3 linked regions of the Anolis sagrei genome follow. The protein of the gene in region 3 binds, or shares a complex with, the protein of the main gene of each other region. Links are inferred from orthologs where the notes say so. Each region holds a gene or a part of one and is shown on either strand. Other genes may lie near its edges.

What was found.
Region 1: TCTE1 (region 3) and FBXL13 share a complex: the UniProt entries of both Homo sapiens proteins name them as parts of the nexin-dynein regulatory complex. The link is inferred for Anolis sagrei from reciprocal best matches to the Homo sapiens genes DRC5 and FBXL13.
Region 2: TCTE1 (region 3) and EFCAB2 share a complex: the UniProt entries of both Homo sapiens proteins name them as parts of the nexin-dynein regulatory complex. The link is inferred for Anolis sagrei from reciprocal best matches to the Homo sapiens genes DRC5 and DRC8.

What each region holds. Positions count from the first base shown.
Region 1 is NC_090025.1:85,412,318-85,416,068, reverse strand, and holds the start of FBXL13 (F-box and leucine-rich repeat protein 13), read right to left. Parts: upstream 2,580-3,751; 5' UTR 2,520-2,579; coding exon 2,445-2,519; intron 1-2,444. UniProt on the Homo sapiens protein: Substrate-recognition component of the SCF (SKP1-CUL1-F-box protein)-type E3 ubiquitin ligase complex.
Region 2 is NC_090021.1:54,904,013-54,907,763, reverse strand, and holds the start of EFCAB2 (dynein regulatory complex protein 8), read left to right. Parts: upstream 1-1,274; 5' UTR 1,275-1,306; coding exon 1,307-1,340; intron 1,341-3,751. UniProt on the Homo sapiens protein: Component of the nexin-dynein regulatory complex (N-DRC), a key regulator of ciliary/flagellar motility which maintains the alignment and integrity of the distal axoneme and regulates microtubule sliding in motile axonemes.
Region 3 is NC_090021.1:48,126,070-48,129,820, reverse strand, and holds the start of TCTE1 (dynein regulatory complex subunit 5), read right to left. Parts: upstream 2,680-3,751; 5' UTR 2,413-2,679; intron 1-2,412. UniProt on the Homo sapiens protein: Component of the nexin-dynein regulatory complex (N-DRC) a key regulator of ciliary/flagellar motility which maintains the alignment and integrity of the distal axoneme and regulates microtubule sliding in motile axonemes.

The sequences.
Region 1 (3,751 bases), on a different chromosome or scaffold from region 3:
AATAAACATAACAGTTTAAATAATGCACCAGTAAGGCCTTTTCGTGAACCACCATGAGAATTTCCGGGGGGGGGGGGGCTGAAGCCCCTCAAGCCCCCCCCCCCCTTGGCTACACATCTGCCCTCACTGTGGAAGAAGATGCAGATCAAGAATAGGGCTCCACAGCCACCTACAGACACAAGAATTCTGATCCTGGAAGACTATCCTTCTCGGCCAACGAGGGATCGCCTAAGTAAGTAAGTAAGTAAAGACTGTCAGAGTTAGGGCATGTCTGATGTCCTTGGGAAGTGAGTTCCAGAGTCGGGGGGCCACTACCGAGAAGGCCCTCTCCCTCGAACTACTCTTCATGATTTGCTAAAAAAGGTTTCAACCCTCCCCGAAATTTTTTTTCTGGCTACGGTCCTGGTAGAGGCTCCTTCTTTGGAAGCTTTTAAACAGAGGCTGGATGGCCATCTAAATGCAATTTTCCTGCTTCTTGGCAGGGGGTTGGACTGGATGGCCCATGCAGGGGAGGCTCAACCCATTACGCAAAGTAAGCATTTGCAGTATTTATTATTTCGATTACTTCTACCCCGCCCTTCTCACCCTGGAGGGGACTCAGGGCAACTTACAAACGCACAATTCGATGCCGGCATCACGTAACAGTAGTAAAACAATATAGCAGCAATTAACAGTTAAACAACAGTTCCTGCATTACAACAATAAAACCAATAAAACCAATACAAACCCATTACTCCTCATTAACGGTCAGCGTTCACCATCTCATAGTCTAATTTCCAATTCCACTTTGTCAGTCCTGTCAGTCCTAGTCGTCTGATTGTCCTTATCTAGTTGTCAGATTGCCCAAAGGCCTGGTCCCACAACCACGTCTTTACTTTCCTCCTGAAGGAGAGGAGGGATGTTGATGACCTAATTTCCCCCGGGAGTGAGTTCCACAGGTGAGGGGCCACCACTGAGAAAGCCCTGCTCCCCGTCCCCACCAACCTCACTTGTGATAGCGGTGGGGTCGAAAGCAGGGCCTCTCCAGATGATCTCAAACTCCGGGGTGGGACATAGAGGGAGATGCGTTCGGACAGATACACTGGACCAGAATAGGGCAGTGGTTCTCAACCTTCCTAACGCCGCAACCCCTTTATATAGTTCCTCATGTTGTGGTGACCCCCAACCCTAAAATTATTTTCGTTGCTACTTCATAACTGGAATTTTGCTACTGTTATGAATCGTCATGTAAATATCTGATAGGCAGGATGTATTTTCATTCTCTGGACCTTGGGAGTTATAGTTGCTGGGATTTACAGTTCACGTACAATCAAAGAACTTTCTGAGTTCCACCAGAGATGAAATTGACCCAAACTTGGCACACAGAACACCCATGACCAGCAAAAAATAATGAAAGCGTTAGGTGAGCATTGGCCTTGAGTTGTAGTTCACATATCTCCAGAAAGCACTGTGGACTCAAACAATGATAGATCTGGACTAAACTTGGCATGAATACTCAATATGCCCAAATGTGAACACTGCTGGGAGTTTGGGGGAAATAGACCTTGACATTTAGGAGTTGTAATTGCTGGAATTTATAGTTTACCTACAATCAGAGAGCATTCTGAACCCCACCGACGATAGAATTGGGCCAGACTTCCCACACAGAACTCCCATGAGCAGCAGTGCATCTTGGTGGTCTTTGGCGACCCCTCTAACACTCCATCGTGACCCCCACCCAGGGGTCCCGACCCCCAGGTTGAGAAACACTAGTATAGGGTTTTGTAGGTCAAAACCAGCACCTTGAATTGTGCTCGGAATTGAACCGGCAGCCAGTGGAGCTGACACAACAGGGGGGTGGTGTGCTCCCTGTATGACGCTCCGGTGAGTAATCTGGCTGCCGCTCGCTGGACCAGTTGAAGTTTCCAAACAGTCTTCAAGGGCAACCCCACGTAGAGTGCGTTGCAGTAGTATAGTTGATAGACCTTGACATATGCGAGTTGTAGTTACTGGGATATATAGTTCACCTACAATCAAAGAGCATTCTGAACTCCACCAATGATGGAATAGAACCAAATATGGCACACAGAACTCCCACAACAAACAGAAAATATATATCAGTGATTGGTTGTCGGGGGATACTGTTTGCTTACTATTAAAAATTACCTAGGGCCGCCTCTGGGCCCATGAGGTCTCTTCCAACTCTAGGATTCTATTATTCTAAATTCAATTTTAAAAGCTCTTCAAGATATTAGTTCAGTTCCAAAACAATGCCACACAAATACAGTACTGAAGGTGTGACTGGTAAGGAAACTCTCCTTGCGACTCTCTGGCCTAGCGGGATGGAGGTGGATCATAAGAATGCATGCCTACTAGGCCAGCACAGCAAAAAAAGGGAGGCCTTCCCTGACAACGTGTTAGACCTGGTTTCATCCCTCTCCAATTTCCCCAGGCGGCCCTTTTACCTCATAGATGTCAGGGATGGAGTGTTTCTTGAAGTAGGCCCTGAGTTCGGGGCCCACGCCTTGAAACGTAGCCATGGCCCCACGGAGAGGAGAGGAGGGGGTCCTCCTCCCGGCCTGGCCCCCTGAGGTGACCGTTTGGCGGTCGCCTAGCAACCGGGCTGCACGTGCCCTCGAGCCAAGCCCCGGGTGGTCAGCGCGCGCCGGCCCACTCGCCCTCGCCTGCCACTCAAACTGCCAGACACCAGAAGTATTCAAAAGGAGGAAAGGAGGAGGAAAGAATGTGGCAGCGCCATTCACACTAACCTTTTTATGTTGGGGACTAGCTGTCCCCTGCCACGCGTTGCTGTGGCCCAGTCTAGTGATGAGAAAGTAACGAGAAAGTGTTGGTTTCTAATATATGTAATGTCTTTTTTATATATATATACATTTTTATTAGTGATTGACAATAAAAAAGGGGGTTGAGAAGGGGGGAAGCTTGGGAGGGTTTATCTCTCTTCATATAAACATTTCCAGTAGATATTTCTTTCTTTTCTTCTTTTTCTTGGTAATGGGTCTATATGGATTAGGTTTCTTTATTATTATTGACTAGCTGTCCCCTGCTACGCGTTGCTGTGGCCCAGTCTGTTGATCTGGAAAATAAAGTAATGAGAAAGTATTGGTTTCTAATATATGTAATTCCTTTATGCTTGTGGGTATACAGTATTTCTGCTGTTTTTTGTCAGTGTTGATGTGGAGAGTGTCTGGTTTGCCCACCTTGGCTTTAAGGGTCCCTTTCAAATCTATGATACTATTTCTCTCTGTGTGTGAATCATATCTATATCTGTCTATCTATCTATCTATCTATCTATCTATATCTATGGCTGGATGACTCTTTGTCAGGAGGGCTTTGATTACATTTTCTTGCCCTAGTGAAGAGAGTTGGACTGGATGGCCTTAAGTATTTTCTGTTGCTCATGGGGGTTCTGTGTGGGAAGTTTAGCCCAATTCTATCGCTGGTGGGATTCAGAATGTGCTTTGATTGTAAGTGAACTATAAATCCCAGTAGCGACAATTTCCAAATATCAAAGTCTATTTCCCCCAAACCCCATCTGTGTTCATATTTGGGCATATGGAATATTCGTACCAAGTTTGGTCCAGATCCATCATTGTTTGAGTCCACAGTGCTCTCTGGATGTAGGTGAACTACAACTCCCAAACTCAAGGTCAATGCCCACTAAACCCTTCTAGTGTTTCTGTTGGTCATGGGAGTCCTGTGTGCCACGTTTGGTTCAATTCCATCATTGGTGGAGTTCAGAATACACTTGGAT
Region 2 (3,751 bases), about 6.8 Mb from region 3:
TCCACACAGCTGAATAAAATCCCACATTTTCTACTTTGAACTGGCATATATGGCAGTATGGACTCAGACGATCCAGTTCAAAGCGGATTTTGTGGGATTTTCTGCCTTGATATTCTGGGTTATAGGGCTGTGTGGAAGGGCCCTCAGGCTACTTCTGCACTGTCATATAATCCACATTTTCAAAGCAGATAATTTCACATGCTCTGCTTTGAACTGGATTATACTGGAGTCTACGCTGCCGTATAATCCAGAGCAGATAATCTGGATAGCCCCCGGTGGCGCAGTGGGTTAAACCCCTGTGCCGGCAGGACTGAAGACCGACAGGTTGCAGGTTCTAATCCGGGGAGAGGTAAATGAGCTCCCTCTATCAGCTCCAGCTCCTCATGCGGGGACATGAGAGAAGCCTCCCAGAAGGATGATAAAAGCATCAAATCATCCAGGCGTCCCCTGGGCAACGTCCTTGCAGACGGCCAATTCTCTTACACCAGAAGAGACTTGCAGTTTCTCAAGTTGCTCCTGACACGACAAAAAGAAAGAAAGAAAATAATAATCTGGATTATTATATGGCAATGGAAAAGGGGTCAGAGGGCCCTTCCACACAGCCCTATATCCCAGAATATCAAGGCAGAAATTCCCACAATATCTGCTTTGAACATGGTTATCTGAGTGAGTCCACACTCAGACAATGTGGGATTTTCTGCCTTGATACTCAGGGATATAGGGCTGTGTGGATGGGCCCTTAAGAGACCAGGGTTCAGATCCTTCCTTGGTCATGGAAGCCCATTGAGTAACTTTGGGCAAGTCACATTCTCTCAGCCTCAGAGTCACAATCCCTCTGTCCCATATGTAAAAAAATGTTGCAAGCTTGGAAGGACAAAACATAGACATAACAATATATCTATTTTAAAATGAATAAAAACACATAAAGCAGGGGGTCACTGTATCCCAGGCCTGGGCAAACTTGGGCTTTCCCTCCAGGTGTTTTGGACTTCAACTCCCATCATTCCTAACAGCTTCAGGTCCTTTTCTTTTCCCCCTCAGCCGCTTAAGCGGCTGAGGGGGAAAAGAAAGGGACCTGAAGCTGTTAGGAATGATGGGAGTTGAAGTCCAAAACACTTGGAGGGAAAGCCCAAGTTTGCCCAGGCCTGTTGTATCTAAAAGAAAGAAGGAGCCTTCGTTTCCAAAGAGAGGCCTACTCGGAAGAAAAAGGCGGGAAACCCCTCCTTCCCCAGTTTCTGCCCTCAGGAGCAGCAAGGCCCAAAGCGCGCCTTTGCGTTGCCATGGCGACCCCTGAAGCGGCGAGGGCATGGCGGCCGAGGAGAAAGAAGCCACCGCCGCGGGTAAGCAGCCTTTTTGGTCTTGTAAGCCCGGCTCAAACAAGGATAAGATGGCACGGAGAGGAGAGGAAGACCAGGGGAAGGCAACACGGGCCTAGTTATCGCCCACTCCCCGCCGCCGCCCTCTTTCTCCTCGCAACGGGCCTTCTGCTTCTTTGAACATGGCATGGCTTCCCTCCTCCTCTGAATGGCGGCCTCTGTCGCAGGCTCCCTGCCTTCCTTCCTTCCTCACGCGACTCCCCTGCAGGCACAATACGTAGCCGCTCCCTCAGGAAGGAAAAGGGTTTTAAGACATCATATTGGCTAACCATGCAATTACAGTTCTATTATGTGATGGAATAAGAGTGATTCCACTCTTCATGGCATGCAGGAAAGAATAGGGGGTACTTTCTGATAGGCACTTAGGAAATACATTGAAAGGTGAGCAGATCATGTATATGTATTGTTATTACAATATGGCACAATATTTAAAACAGAATAATATTTGTTTGGCTATTTCTTCATAAAAGTAGACAATTTATTGTTGAAGACTGTCATGGCTGGAATCACTGGGTTGTTGTAGGTTTTTCGGGCTATATGGCTATGTTCTAGAAGCATTCTCTCCTGACATTTCGCCTGCATGTATGGCAAGCATCCTCAGAGGTTGTGCAGGTCCAATTCCGAGCACAATTCAAACTGCTGGTTTTGACCTATAAAGCTCTATATGGCTTACCTGTCTTAATGTACTCGCCTGTGGAACTCACTCCCCAGCGAAATCAGGTCAACAAGAACCCTCCTTGCCTTAAGGAAAAAATTGAAAATGTGATTATGGGGCCAGGCCTTTGGGTACTCAAGCCCTATACGACTCTGGCCCAGCTTACCTGTCCGAACGTATCTCCCTCTGCGTCCCACCTCGAAGTTTAAGATCTTCTGGGGAGGCTCTGCTCTCGGCCCCGCCTTTGGTGCAAACACGCTTGGCGGGGATGAGGGACAGGGTCTTCTCGGTGACGGCCCCCCACCTGTTGAAGTTGTTCCCGAGCGAAATCAGGTCAATAACATCCCTCCTCGTCTTCAGGAGGAAATTGAAAATGTGGTTATGGGACCAGGCCTTTGGGTACTCAAGCCCTATACGACTCTGGCCCAGCTTACCTGTCCGAACGTATCTCCCTCTATGCCCCACCTCAGAGTTTAAGATCTTCTGGGGAAGCCCTGTTCTCGGCCCCGCCTTTGTCGCAAACACACTTGGCGGGGATGAGGGACAGGGCCTTTTCGGTGATGGCCCCCCACCTGTGGAACTCGCTCCCGAGCGAAATCAGGTCAGTAACATCCCTCCTCGCCTTCAGGAAGAAATTGAAAATGTGGTTATGGGACCAGGCCTTTGGGTAGCTGGCAGATAATTGACAATGGTAATGATGATGATGATAAAAACTTTATTTATACCCTGCCCAAGGGGACTCGGGGCGGCTTCCATGAGGCCAAGCCCAACCACACATCAGTTAAACAACAACGCAGTAAGCAAATAAAACAATACAATTAATATAACTCACATATAAGCAATAACACACAAAATTTGAAACCTTATGGCTGAGCCAGATGTAATAAATTAATTTTTTAAAAATAAATACTGGGGGTTTTATTTTCTCGTGTCAGGGCAGCCAGTCAATTATATTACATTTCTAACAGAACAAAGCAAACATATAAACAGAGAAAATACAAAATGTGTGAGTTTGGTAGTTGATTAAATGTCCTTTGACCAGTATCTGGCCACTTGGAGTGCTTCTGGTGTTGCTGCAAGAAGGTCCTCCGTTGTGCATGTGGCTGGGCTCAGGTTGCATTGCAGCAGGTGGTCAGTGGTTTGCTCCTCTCTGCACTCGCATGTCGAGGATTCCACTTTGTAGCCCCATTTCTGAAGGTTGGCTCTGCATCTTGTGGTGCCAGAACGCAGTCTGTTCAGCACCTTCTAAGTCGCCTAGTCCTCTGTGTGCCCAGAGGGGTGAACAGAGGTAGGATGTATCTAAGCAGGAGGGTTTTAAAAGATTTGGGAAACCTCATTTGCTCAGAGGCGTCTGCCTGCAAGGTAGGGTGCATCTACACCAGGCCTGGGAAAAATTCGGCCCTCCGGGTGTTTTGGACTTCAATTCCCACAATTCCTAACAGACGGTGAAGGTGGATGTGCCAGGCTCTTCTGCATTTGCACCCCCGGTTTTAACGCACTGTGCTAAAATACTGAAAATGCTAGAAGAAAGGCCTATCATTTTCAGCTGAACCAACAGAAAGGAAAGGTTTCACTATCTGTGGACAGTTTTGGATTGCGGAATATTTCAAGAATTATGAATCAAGGATGCTCAACTCCTGCTATGATATTTAAGGTCAACTCTTTAACCTAGAAGGCCCCTAGAGTAACTTCTCCCTATCTTTCACTCTAATCCTGTGGA
Region 3 (3,751 bases):
GTTAAATTGTCATGCTTTCAGAAATCTGCTGATAAGAAATGCACTAAAGGTTGGATATCCTTTATCAGAAATGCTTGGGACCACAATTGTTTTGGATTTTGGAATACCTGTATGCAGGGCCGTAGCCAGAAAAAAATTTCGGGAGGGGTTGAAATTTTCACGGGGGGGGGGGGGGGGTTGAAATTTTCACGGGGGGGGTTTTCAAATTTTCACGGGGAGGGGTGAAATTTTCAGGGGGGGGGGTTGACATTTTTGCAAGGGGGGTTTCAAATTTTCGTGCGGGGGGGGGGGTTGCAACCTGCCTCCTAGCTCACGCTGAAGCAAAGAATACAGCAGGGGCCAGAGCAGCCTTCAATAGCCTGCAGCTCCGTCCCTGTCAACCATCTCCACCAAGTCTGGCCTCCTTAATGAGAGCATTCAACACACAAACCACAATTTGGTTGCTTCACTACATCGGCTATTGCTGCAAGTAATGACAGTGTGAATAAATTGTCAATATTTGCTTGAGATAGTTCTGGAGGGACTCTTAATTTTTTGTATTTCATAGACTTAGCAATGGGATTTGGTTAACCAGTTAAAATTCATGAGTAAACCAGGTTTTTAAAAAAATCTGAAACATTTGGGGGGGGGATTGAACCCCTAAACCGCCCCCCTCGCTACAGGCCTGCCTGTATGTACATAATGAGTTATCTTGGAGATGAGTCCCAAGTCTTATCAGAAAATTCATCTATGTTTCATGCACACCATATACACATAGCCTGAAGGCAATTTTATGCAATATAAAAAACAATGCCCATGAAACAAAGTTTGGACAGTAAACCATTAGAAAGCAAAAAAAAAAAAAAAAAAAAAATGTCACTACCTTAGCCACCCATGAGGACAATTTTGGAGTTTTGCAGATTATGTGTGCTCAAATTATATTGCTTTCACATTCTTTAGGCCCCATCTACAATGCCTTATAATGCAGTTTGAAACTGCATTATAGAATTTGTATAGACCCATATAATGCATTTAAACGGTATTATATAAGTCTTCTCTACATTCCTCTACAATATGCTATAGTTTCAAAGTGTAGATAGGGCCTAGGAATGAATATAACCATATTTTCTAATGGGAGCAAGATAGTTTAGGGAGAATAGTTATTTCACATCAGTTTTCAAGTGAGTTGTAATATACAGAAACAAACACAATCTCAGTAGCATACTCACATAGATTTCCATTAAAAGAGAGTGTACTAATATACAATCAAGAAGCTGCAACAACATATATAAATCACAACTGAAATGGAGAGATGAATATCATGTTTCTTAACAGCAACATTTACTGATTTTTAAAAAAGAAAACTGAAAATGAAAAGTTGGCCTAAACTGAAGTGTTTAAGGATAAATAGGCTCCTCAAAAAGAAAAGGTTCAAGACTATACAAAATATAGCTCAGAAAAAAACCACAGTATGTGGAAGCATTACCTAATTTATTGCTGCCTACAGAGACAAAGGGCCCCCTGGTGATGCAGTGGATTAAACTATTGAGCTGTGGAACTTACTGACTGAAAGGTTGGCGGTTTGAATCCGGGGAGCAGGGTGAGCTCCCTGCCTCTGTCAACCTAACAGTCTGAAAACATATAAATATGAGTAGCTCAATAGGTACTGCTTCTGCGGGAAGGCAACAGCACTCCATGCAGTCGTGTCAGCCACATGACCTTGGAGGAATCTACGGACAACGCTGGCTCTTAGGCTTAGAAATGGAGATGAGCACCACTCTCTGGAGTCTGACATGACTAGACTTAATGTCCAGGGAAACCTTTACCTTTACTTTACCAGAGAAATAGATAATCTAATAGTCTGCGGACTCAGTGTGAGAAAACTTGCTGCTGGTTTACCTGGCTGATCATGAAAACCTAACTGCATTCTGCAGTTATTGCAGGCACACTTCAGTTAGCAAAGTAGATGTGATCCACAGACATTACTTCTTTAGCAGAAAATTTAGTTCCGGGGGCAGAAATAAAATGGAAAAAAATGAATTTCTATTTCACAAAAAAACCCCCCAAAAAACAACACTCTTCATTTCGGGGTTTGTAGATCAGTGGGGCCCAGGACCTCGCTGGCCGGGCATTTTAAAGGCCCCTCTCTAAACTACAAGCTTCTGCAGGAGACAGCCACAGGATTTACATTAATGTAATTTGACCCCAGTATGGCTCAATGCTAAGGGATCATGGGAGTTTTAGTTTGGTCAATCATCAGTACGCTACAGCTCCCGTAATTCTATAGCAATGTGTCATTTATTTATTTATTTATTTACAGCTTTTATATTCCACCCTTCTCACCCTGCAGGGGACTCAGGGCAGATTACAGTGTACACATATATGGCAAACATGCAATGCCAATTTTTGACATACAAACATATACAGACATACAGAGGCTATTTAACTTTTTCTGGCCGCCAGGGGAGCTGTCGCTTTCATCGTCCATCTGCGACGCTGATGAAGCACCTCCGCATTCCTGCATGCTTCCCCGCTGGAATGCTTTGCTGGAGTCTTCTTTATGGCCTCATAAATCAGTTAATTTAGCCTCCCCAACTGTCTTTCAGGTTGCAAAGGTCGACAACAGGCTACACACAATTGGTTGGAAACCCACTCATGACCTTTTGGTCAGAGTGATCTTAATGCAGCTGACACTCAGCCAGCTGCGCCATAATCCCGGTTATGGCTGTTAAGACGGCCTAAACTGCATCCATTACAGTATAGATCAGGCATGGGCAAACTTGGGCCCTCCGTGTGTTTTGGACTTCAACTCCCAGCATTCCTAACAGCCCCAGCCCCTTTCCTTTCTCCCACTCAGCTGAAGCAGCTGTGGTGGGAAAGGTCCTTGAGGTCCTTCTCTGAATTCTATTGCATCCTCCACTCTTTCCCTGTAGGGACCCAAGACTCGACATTTCACTGGCCTGAACGTCCCAGGCCCCTCTTTCCTGGTCCCCCCCACCCTCGAAACAGGTGTCCCCTCAGGTTTCATTCGCCCACCTGGCAGTCTAGGCCGCAGAGCAGTCCGTTGCTAAGGAAACGAGAAGCGTTGCCAAGGGCGGGGCTTCACAGCGTAGACCACACCCCTTAGAGGCACGAGCCGAGGGTGATGTCCAATCAGCAGGCGGGAGCCGCCCATTGCTTTTTTTTCAGAAATGGGCGGGAGGAACCGCCTGGGGGCGGAGCTTACGGCAAGGTGTGTGCGATAGCTTGGAAGCAGGAATTTCTGGATGAGATGAAACCAAGCCCCGCCCCTTTCCCTTGAGAGCGCCTCCTGATTGGCTATTCTGTTGGCACCCTGAGTGTTGTTTTTTCCTAAGAAGGAGACATCATCTTCTTGATGTGGCTGTTAAATGCAGGTTGAGGATGCATCTACACTGTAGCATAAACGCAGTTCAACAGCACTTTAACTGGCAGGGCTCAAATGCAATGAAATAATGGGGGTTGTAGATCTACAAGGTCTTAAAGGGGTGTCAAACTGCATTAATTCTACAGTGTAGATGCACCCAGAGTCTCCTTTATCCCAAATGTTTGGGTTCCACAATGGGAGAGTGATCAACAGTCTAACAAGCAATGAGTAATGAATGTGCTGGATGACTTGTCTTTGCCTCCTCCTCAACTTTCCATTTGGAAGGACATTCTGTGTCGATTAAATATAAACACTGAGAATGTGATGCCTTGATTGACTGCCAATGAGCTTTATGACCTGAGTGGAACCCATCTGCTTGGTTGTTTG